2 linked regions of the Arabidopsis thaliana genome follow. Each later gene encodes a partner of the first gene's protein in a complex. Each region holds a gene or a part of one and is shown on either strand. Other genes may lie near its edges. A codon is read from its position in the direction of its gene.

Region 1 (4,896 bases):
CAACTTTTTATCGTGTTTACTTGTAAGATTATATGTAATTCAATTTTATATATTGGACTAACCACCTACTCAAATATTCCAAATAAACTTTTTTTATTAAAAATGCACTATGATGTTGTTTTATACACATAACGCGTCTTCAAAGTTTCTATAAATGCATGCATAAATATCACGTCTTACGCAATTAATTGATCTTAATATTATTACACGGCATGTCGAGATCTCTTTGTTTTCACTTAATACCACAAATGTTCCAATTAGGAAACTTCAGTACACAGTTTTATTTGATCATCCACTGTTTTTCACAGAATTAATTGATCTTAGTATTACACGGCAATGTCTAGAAGATCTCTTTGTTTTCTCTTAATACCACAAATGTTCCAATTAGGACAATTCAGTACACAGTTTTATTTGATCATCCACTGTTTTTCACATACAGATCAGGATTTTTTTTACCAACTATATGAAGTATTACTTTATAATATAAATGAATTAAATCAAGGAAAAATATAAGCAAGTCATATTTTCTTTAAGCATTTCGATATAGAACTAATCCACACTTCGTCGATGAACTAATGACTAAACAACGGACATTTGTTTATTTCTTAAAGAATTTTGCTAAGTTGCTAATACAAAAATTACAAACTTGGATACTTTCACAGAGGCACTCGCAGTAATATCTAACTCCAAATGTATATCAAACTTTAATTTAGACACAATCAAAGAAAAATGAAAAACAAGTTTCAAGTTTCAGCCTAAGAGACACTCGATCAACGATGCTTAAGTCAGGACAACGTAATATCTTTCACCTCTCTTTTTTTGTTGATATTAAACACTTCCAAAGAACTGTTCTATTGACTGCGAGGTGAACACATTTGGAGCTGTTCGCTCGGGTTTCACCGTAGCGACATGAAGCTGATATTTGATGAACCTCTGCAAATAAGAGGGGAATGAGTTAAACTAAAAGCTAAGGTAAGAATGTAAATGAGTAAACAAGGAAATGACTTTACAGCTAGTTGTGTGCTGATTTCCGGGTTTGTATCAATATGCCAGTCAGGTTCTAGCTGTCTGACAAAGGAAGTTCTTCCTATCTCTGTACTACAAAAGAGCACCTGCAATTTCATGTTTACAGAATTGTGATTCTTACATTTTCTCGAAACATACACAGCAATATCGAAAGTCATGCTTTGATACGATTATTGGAAGGCTTTCTAAGACCGCTAACGAGTGCAAGATTTTGTAGAAGAAAGCTTGATTTGAATACCTTATCTTTGACTAAACCACCAGATGTAAAAACTCCTGCATTCTCTAAAGCCTGTAAAACTTTGGCCTGCAAATTAGAGCTCAAAATGTGAGTTTCAGAAACTACTGACAATAAGCATATAGTAACACCAATGAACTCGATTCCTCTAATAATGTAAAGATATGTGCTTAAGAATCCTTCTAATTACACATTATTCATCGACCAACTATTATCGATATGAATATCCATGTAATGTTATGACCTACTGCCCGAGTATTTAAGCTAACCATGTTCAATAATAACCACAACTAATTTACTCTGTCCTACTAGAGACTAGTTCCAACACGAAGGCAAACAAAAGAACACGAATGAGAGAGAAAAACAAATGCTCACCTCGCTTTCATCGTCAAGAACTCTTTCCATAAGATACAAATCACTATACTTTGTAATCTCTAGTAGAACTTCCAAAACAGATGACCTCACTGTGGCTTGTTTCTGCATAAAATCACTCGTCTCAGATACAAACGCATCACACACTATATAAATAAAATCTCAAAACGAAAATATCATTACTTGGAGTTCTTCTGGACTTGTTTCCTCAAGAATTACTCCAAGAAGACGGCATGTTACCTACAAATGCATATTAGACAACTCAATAATAAAACCAACGCTTCAATAAGGTGCCTAACATGACCAAACACTATCCATAGCTCTGAGAATATTAATACTGATATAAAATTACCTTCCTTCCTTCACTAAGCTTCTGTCTAACTATTTGCCCCAAAGTAGGCTGCAAAAATACAGAACAAAGTGAATAATACTCTATAACACAAAATTTCAAACTGTTTAGAGAAAAAGAATGTTACTTTAACAGGTTGAAAGAACTGATCAACAACATCTTGCACCGCATTATCCTCACGAGGCGAAGAAACTTCCGGAGCAACCGAAGAAGCTAGATTCGACTGAGAAGCAGCAGCAGCAGCACTAGACGTTTCAGCATTGTGAATCCTACGCTTCGGCTGCCTTCTCTGACGTTGCTCTCCGGGCGTTCTTATCGCCCTCCACGTAAATATCACCGCAATCGCAAGCCCCGCAATCGCACCAATTGATCTTGAATCCTAAATCACAACAACATCAATAGCAAAAACAAATCAACTTACATAACAATAATAACTCAAAAGTTTCGATCTTTCTAATCCCAAATCACCTAAAATCACTCAAATTTGAGCTGAATCATAACATTAAGTAATTAGTTTCATCAATTTGAAGATCAATTTGTCAAAAATTGGATTCACTTCCCACCAACGAAAAACCACAATTCACACCAGATCCGATACAGAAACGTTGTAAATAGAGAGAGAGATCGAGAAAGGAACCAGATTTCGAATCGATGTAGTGGAGAAAAGGCTTGACATTTTGAAAGCAACGTAAGCGCTTAAACGCTTAATCAACCGAACGATCTCTTCAGTAGGCGACGGCGACGACGATTCCGCCATTAATTTCACCTTTCCTTCAAAGCCAATTTCAAATACGTCGTCGGTTTAAACACGAACGTCCAGATTCTTAGCTTCAGCTTTCAGATATGGGGCACTGTTCTCGAGCCTCCTCCCTGAACTAAGAGAGAAAAGAGGAATTTTACTTTTCCATTAGAACACAACTAGGCAAAGTCAATTTGTTTGGACACGTGTCTTGTTAAACACGTGGTGGTGGATGAGCGTGTGAGACCATTGTTTTTTATCATAGGGTGCGATGGATCTGATCTGTACGAAACGGTGCGTTTTGCTCTTATGTAAAGGAAATTTTACACGATAAACCGAAGACGATTGGAGGAGTAAGAAAACTAGGAAACTAGAATTGGATTTTGGTTTGTTGTTGTTGGATACTTAAGTCATCATGGAGTATCATTTTACAGTGAAAAGAAGAAAATAGAGAGATGAACCTGAAGAACAAAACAACATGTGCAAAATGTAGGAAAAAATAGCTTATATCATTTAGTTGAAATCTACAAACTATTTAACTTAACAGATTTACATTGTAAAATCTCTAGTATACATAGTTTGAGATTTCAATTATTTTTCTCTAGCAAAAATTTGAGATAATTTCTTCAAAATATAAATAAAATTTCGATAGTTAGTGCGTAAACTTTTTCTGTCAACCAAACGCGTTCAGTTAAAAGTTATATTAAAAAAATTCATATACATATATCAAACATATAAAGATGATAAAGTAGATGCTGGAGAGAGACTTTCTTGCATTGGTTGAATATCTTTGAGGGAAGAAACGGCGTCGTTTAGTTGCATCTCTTTTTCGAGGTGAAAGCAATAGCTCTCGAAAACTCTAAAACTCACAGTAACTCTAAAGTCAAGAAGAAAGAGAAGCTCCAACTCCATTTTGTTCAAGTCTGCATTGCTTACGCCTCCAACCCGAGCATAGAACTCGTTGTTGTAGTGCCTGTGAATATGAAATTTGTTAGAAAAAACGAAAACCTCTCTTATCTCATCCAATACATGTTGAAACCTTGAAATCAATAACTTAAAAGGGGCACTTAACATACATATAGGTACAAAGTTTGTCCTCATTTTATATTGGTTAGATATAAAATGTATCTTTCATTTTGTTAATCAATTAAGATACAACTATGATCTATAGTTTCATGATTAGTCTAATTTCAAGATATTATAGAAATTCAAGAAAGGCTTACTTACACGTCATCTAGTATCTTGGCAGCAATCATGACACAAGTGACGAGGAGTCTATGAACATTCAAGGAGACAACCAAAGAACCAGGATGCTTATGAGCCAACCGGTCTATGTACACATACCCAACAACGAAACATGCCGGGCTACATTTTGTGTACTTATATATCCTCTCAAGGTATTTAGCTATACTTATGCTCGGCGCTCTCACGCCGTGAAACGCCTCCAAGCTCTTCCCAAATCCCTTAGTTTGCTTAGCTAACCACTCGTTTCGTGCCACGAGCTTCTCCATCACATGGGAGATTATAGTCAGCACTCTTGGAGTGGCTGCTTCCGTTGCCGATTCTGGTCCCACGACCGGGTCCAGTTCATCGTCTCCGGCTGCGGTTAACATGGGTTCTCTTCAGTTTTCGTTAATGGGCCATGTTGTATAGTTCGTTTTGGGTATATATGGCTTGTAGATTGGGTGGTTGAGATACGATGAGCTTAAGATGTTACGTGGGGATGTTATCATGTTTCGTCTGACTTTGGACGAGTGTGAGATGGTTTTGACACGTGTCACTTCGCGAGAAGATAGGATTCCGATGATTTTTGTATACCTTGAGCAATGAAATTAGTTATCATTTATCAAACAAATAACTTTATTTTCCACTTAATTTTCTGCATATTACTAGCATTATTACCCAAAATTAAGTTTCCGGGTCTTGGTCCATAATTTTCTCGTCCGGTACAATTTCCTTTGAAAAGTCTCACAGTACACAAATTTTACTACATACGCTGGAATATATTCTTGATGTAAATACTATATATAGATGTAAATTAATGTTAGATACATTATTTGAAAAAAGGCATACGCGTTGCCGGTCACTGCATACATGTTTAATGTTTTGATAAGGAGAGTTTATGCATAGGTCATATAATGTTATGTGGCCATTTTTTCTTATCTCTGTTTTGAA
Region 2 (3,836 bases), on another chromosome or scaffold:
ATGTAGTTTGCGAGCTTAGCAAGAGAAATGGAGGAGTAGACTTTCAGGAAAGTCCGCACTCCCGACAAGAGCTGCTGCTGCTTTACCTCGTAAAGGAACATCTTCAGCTGAAGCCTGTATGCATCCTGATTGTAATTGACAAGAGGTTCCTCGAAAGTTGGTGGTGCGGAAGGGGTGATAAACTTGGGGCATGCGTAAGAGAAGAGCTCATCATAAATACCAAAGGCCTCGTCGTCAGACCTCAGCATCCTCATCATCTTTTCACCATACTTGTCTCGCAGCTGAGAGTTGACAGACTCGTCAACGAGTTTAGTTTGAGGGCAGAGGGAGAGGGAGAGAGCAAGCAAAGCGTACATCTGCTCATTCTTCTTGAGTAATTGCTCGTACTGAGGTGACTTTTGATGGTACTGCTTAGTCTTGAAAATGTAGAGGAGAATCTTGTTGAACTCACGAACAGCATCGACATACCTCCGCAACATAAGGGTGGCAAATCCATAGTGGTAGATAGTAGCGATATGGCAACCAATGACACTGGTGTAAACACCTGGCTGAGTGATGTCAATGGGCTGCAACCATTTGAGAGCAGTGTGGTAGTCACCGAGGAGGCAGTGAACACGCAAGAGACCGACCATGCTGAAGTAACCGAGGACCTTCAAGACGTTGCTGCCACCGCTGAAATCGTAGCCATCAGTCTCAGTGAACTCAAGGCCATCCTTGTCATGCTCAAGGATCTGGATGATACAAGACTTCTCCACAAGTGCTTGCAAGAAGTTGAGCACGCCATAGACATTCCAGGCCTTATCGTGCTGTCTGAGCAATGCAATCTCCTCCTCTGTTTTGTTCTTGAGCTTTGCTCTGAATTGACAGAAACTTTGGAACTGGTAGACAAACTCATCCACCATATCCCACAACCACTGGTTCGGCAACTGCATATTCACTACGCCGTGCAACACAACCTAGAAAGAACAAACGGAAGAAGGTCTACTTACTTGTATTTATTCCCAGCCAATACATACACAAAAGAAATCAAAATCAACAACATCTCTATCTAACAAGGAAGAAGAAGTAGAAGAATTCCACAACAGACCTGAAAGAGGCTGCAATAGTTGTCATAAGAATCAATCCTCTGCTTCAACGTCGGAGACAACCTCGCATACAAATGTCGAAACCACATCTCACGGTACAGAAGACAGAACACATGGTCGTTGTCTACGTAAGGAGCAATCGCTTCCACACTTGGCCACGGCGTGTCCTTGAACAGACGCTCCGATATGCTCTGGAACGATGTCTCACACATCTGGTGGATCTCGTACACGTTCTTATCCCTTATGTGTCTGTACATGTGTGACACGAACGACTTCACCGAATCCGGCACCATATTTGGGTCGTACCCACTCTCCCTCTCCCCCGGACCTTCCTCATACTCATTGCTGCTCGCCATTCTCGCCGGATCAATTCTTAGCGGCCGCAACAATGTTAGCTCTTAACTCACTACCACCGCCTAGGGTTTCCTTATTACCACCGGTTCTATCATCCGGTTTCGTTTCCTTATTACCACCGGTTCTATCATCCGGTTATGTTTTTTTATAAAGTCATTTTAATAAAACTTTCTATGGTTCGGAAAAAAAAAACTTCACATAATCATCGCTATTCTCTCTCTCTCTCTCTCTCTCTCTCTCTCTCGCTCTCATATTTGCAGGTAAAGCTTCGTTGATTCGTCCTCTTTATGTTCAATTATAGTTTCGCATCCCTCCTATGTCTTTCTTTCTAGATCTTAAAGCAGAGTCATTGCTTAACCCTAATTATCACTGTTCTTGTATAAAACACTTTTCACCTAATCATTGAGATTGTTACGGGATCTGATAATTGCGTCTGTGAATTACAAGAAATTAGGGTTTATTTCTTCTTGATTTTAGATTGATCTTTTTGCAGTTGACAATTCGTTCTCTTTGGGAAATTAGAGATGCAGGTAAATTGCTTAATTTTTTTTTTGTTTTGTTGCAAATTCTCTGTGTATGTTTATGATTTGATTTGATTTGATTGATGTAATAGGCATCAAGAGCGCGACTGTTTAAAGAATACAAAGAGGTACAGCGAGAGAAAGTAGCAGATCCTGATATTCAATTGATCTGTGACGATACCAACATATTCAAATGGACCGCTCTTATCAAAGGACCTTCGGAGACTCCTTACGAAGGCGGTGTTTTTCAGCTTGCTTTTTCTGTTCCTGAACCTTATCCTTTGCAACCTCCTCAAGTTCGATTCTTGACCAAGATATTCCATCCTAATGTTCATTTCAAGGTTTGCATCTCTTTTTATAACAACCTTCTCCTGTGATAAAAGGAAACGCAGGTTTTTTAGTTAGTACTTGGGAATTTTGTAGACAGGAGAAATATGTCTCGACATTTTGAAGAATGCTTGGAGTCCTGCTTGGACGCTTCAGTCTGTGTGTAGAGCTATCATAGCATTGATGGCTCATCCTGAGCCGGACAGTCCTCTTAACTGCGACTCAGGTACAAAATGCTAGTTTAGTGTTTTCAAAAATGTAACCATGGGCGTTCGGGTATTCGGTTTGGTTCCCGTTCGGTTCTAGTTCGGTTCCGATTCTTTCTGTTCTCGATTTTAGGATCCATATAGGAACCGAAACAGTTTCAGTTCGGTTCAGGTTCGGGTTCGGTTCTGAAGTTTAGGATCCATTAGAATATTTTATTTCGAATATTTCAGATATTTTTTGTCTTTTTTTCCGGATATTTTGGTGTTTTTATATATTTTTCCTTATTTGGGTATTTTTGATTATTCAAACTAAAAATAACTAATATCTTTGGATATATAATCATATTTCGGATACGCAAAATATTTTGGTTCGGTTCGGGTTCAGTTCTAATTACTTTGGTTCTAGAATTTAGGATCTATTTGAGTAGTTTACCATTTCGGGTCGGATTCGGGTTGCTTCAGTTCGGATTCGGTTCTTTCAGTTTGATTATTATGCCCATGCCTAGTTTTTATAGTAAGCAACTGTTTTTTTTTTCTACTGACGCTTTTGTTGTGGTTGCTATGGAAAAAAGGGAATCTTCTAAGATCTGGTGATGTGAGAGGGTTCAATTCAATGGCACAAATGTATACACGCCTCGCCGCTATGCCTAAGAAAGGATGATGATGATGATGATCCTCTTGCTTTTTTTTTGTTTTTTTTTTTGAAATTTGTAATGATATTGATTTGCGAGAGTGAATACATTATTAACGAGAAGAAGATGATTCTTCTTTATTAGTTCACAATATTACAATCTGTCAAGTTGTCATATCTTCTTGTTTAAGGAATTTGTCAAACCAGTCTGATGATTCTTTGATCATGAAACTCGTCGCTTCGTGTCCAACTCCATCTTCTGCTTTGAACTGCTCTCTCGAAACATCAAAAGTTTTTCTTTTTCAATTCTCTATCTGGTTGCAATAGTGTTTAAAGGTTAGATCAGTGATTTACCTTGAAGTTTCCAGGAGAAGCTGTTTCCTTATACGCCTTTTCAGCTCTCTTTAACGCAAGTTCTAGTCCGCCAAGAGGACATCGAGGATCATTTGCGCCTGCATATGAAATCCGAGAAAACTTGTAAGTTTGTTGGTAGTTAGTGAGATCATACATATATATTGATTGTGCTCACCGTTAAGGATGTAAAGAGGCCGTGGAGCAATCACTGGTAATGAGTACGGTGAATCAAACTTCGAAGCTAGGCCAGGAGCTATTCTGTTCCACACCTTCTCGACTAGTTCTTTGTCGATTATGTTCTTTCCGAGATCAATCCTTGCTTCTGGAACCATAGAAGAAGAAAAAAAGCAAAGGAATT

What was found. The genes of interacting proteins can lie anywhere in the genome.
Region 2: the proteins of PEX22 (region 1) and PEX4 are in contact, whole or in part, in a crystal structure (PDB 6XOD), measured with the Arabidopsis thaliana proteins. Residues at the interface, in NP_566696.2 of Arabidopsis thaliana: Tyr182 (codon at 1,672), Val187 (codon at 1,657), Leu188 (codon at 1,654), Asp189 (codon at 1,651), Asp190 (codon at 1,648), Glu193 (codon at 1,639), Asp214 (codon at 1,270), Lys215 (codon at 1,267), Leu217 (codon at 1,109), Phe218 (codon at 1,106), Cys219 (codon at 1,103), Ser220 (codon at 1,100), Thr221 (codon at 1,097), Gly224 (codon at 1,088), Ser227 (codon at 1,079), Phe228 (codon at 1,076), Arg230 (codon at 1,070), Gln231 (codon at 1,067), Leu232 (codon at 1,064), Glu233 (codon at 1,061); in NP_001031939.1 of Arabidopsis thaliana: Phe78, Phe84, Lys85, Asn125, Asp127, Asn130, Leu131, Gly135, Asp136, Val137, Arg138, Gly139, Ser142, Met143, Met146, Tyr147, Arg149, Leu150.

Annotation. Positions count from the first base shown.
Region 1 is NC_003074.8:7,700,480-7,705,375, forward strand, and holds PEX22 (peroxin 22), read right to left. Parts: upstream 3,026-4,896; 5' UTR 2,740-3,025; coding exon 2,620-2,739; intron 2,362-2,619; coding exon 2,110-2,361; intron 2,034-2,109; coding exon 1,986-2,033; intron 1,874-1,985; coding exon 1,817-1,873; intron 1,739-1,816; coding exon 1,637-1,738; intron 1,331-1,636; coding exon 1,265-1,330; intron 1,113-1,264; coding exon 1,011-1,112; intron 934-1,010; coding exon 829-933; 3' UTR 524-828; downstream 1-523. Other genes in the region: CYCP2;1 (cyclin p2;1), read right to left, coding at 3,448-3,694, 3,949-4,334. UniProt on the Arabidopsis thaliana protein: May be tethered PEX4 to the peroxisome membrane and may be involved in a late step of the matrix protein import. Does not play a role in the biogenesis of the peroxisomal membrane.
Region 2 is NC_003076.8:8,966,020-8,969,855, forward strand, and holds PEX4 (peroxin4), read left to right. Parts: upstream 1-1,635; 5' UTR 1,636-1,699; exon of another isoform or gene 1,700-1,932; 5' UTR 1,933-1,963; coding exon 1,964-1,969; intron 1,970-2,052; coding exon 2,053-2,301; intron 2,302-2,383; coding exon 2,384-2,513; intron 2,514-3,065; coding exon 3,066-3,154; 3' UTR 3,155-3,288; downstream 3,289-3,836. Other genes in the region: AT5G25757 (RNA polymerase I-associated factor PAF67), read right to left, coding at 1-956, 1,088-1,441; AT5G25770 (alpha/beta-Hydrolases superfamily protein), read right to left, coding at 3,289-3,393, 3,479-3,576, 3,654-3,800. UniProt on the Arabidopsis thaliana protein: Required for peroxisome biogenesis. Necessary for the developmental elimination of obsolete peroxisome matrix proteins. May be involved in the ubiquitination of PEX5, targeting it for recycling.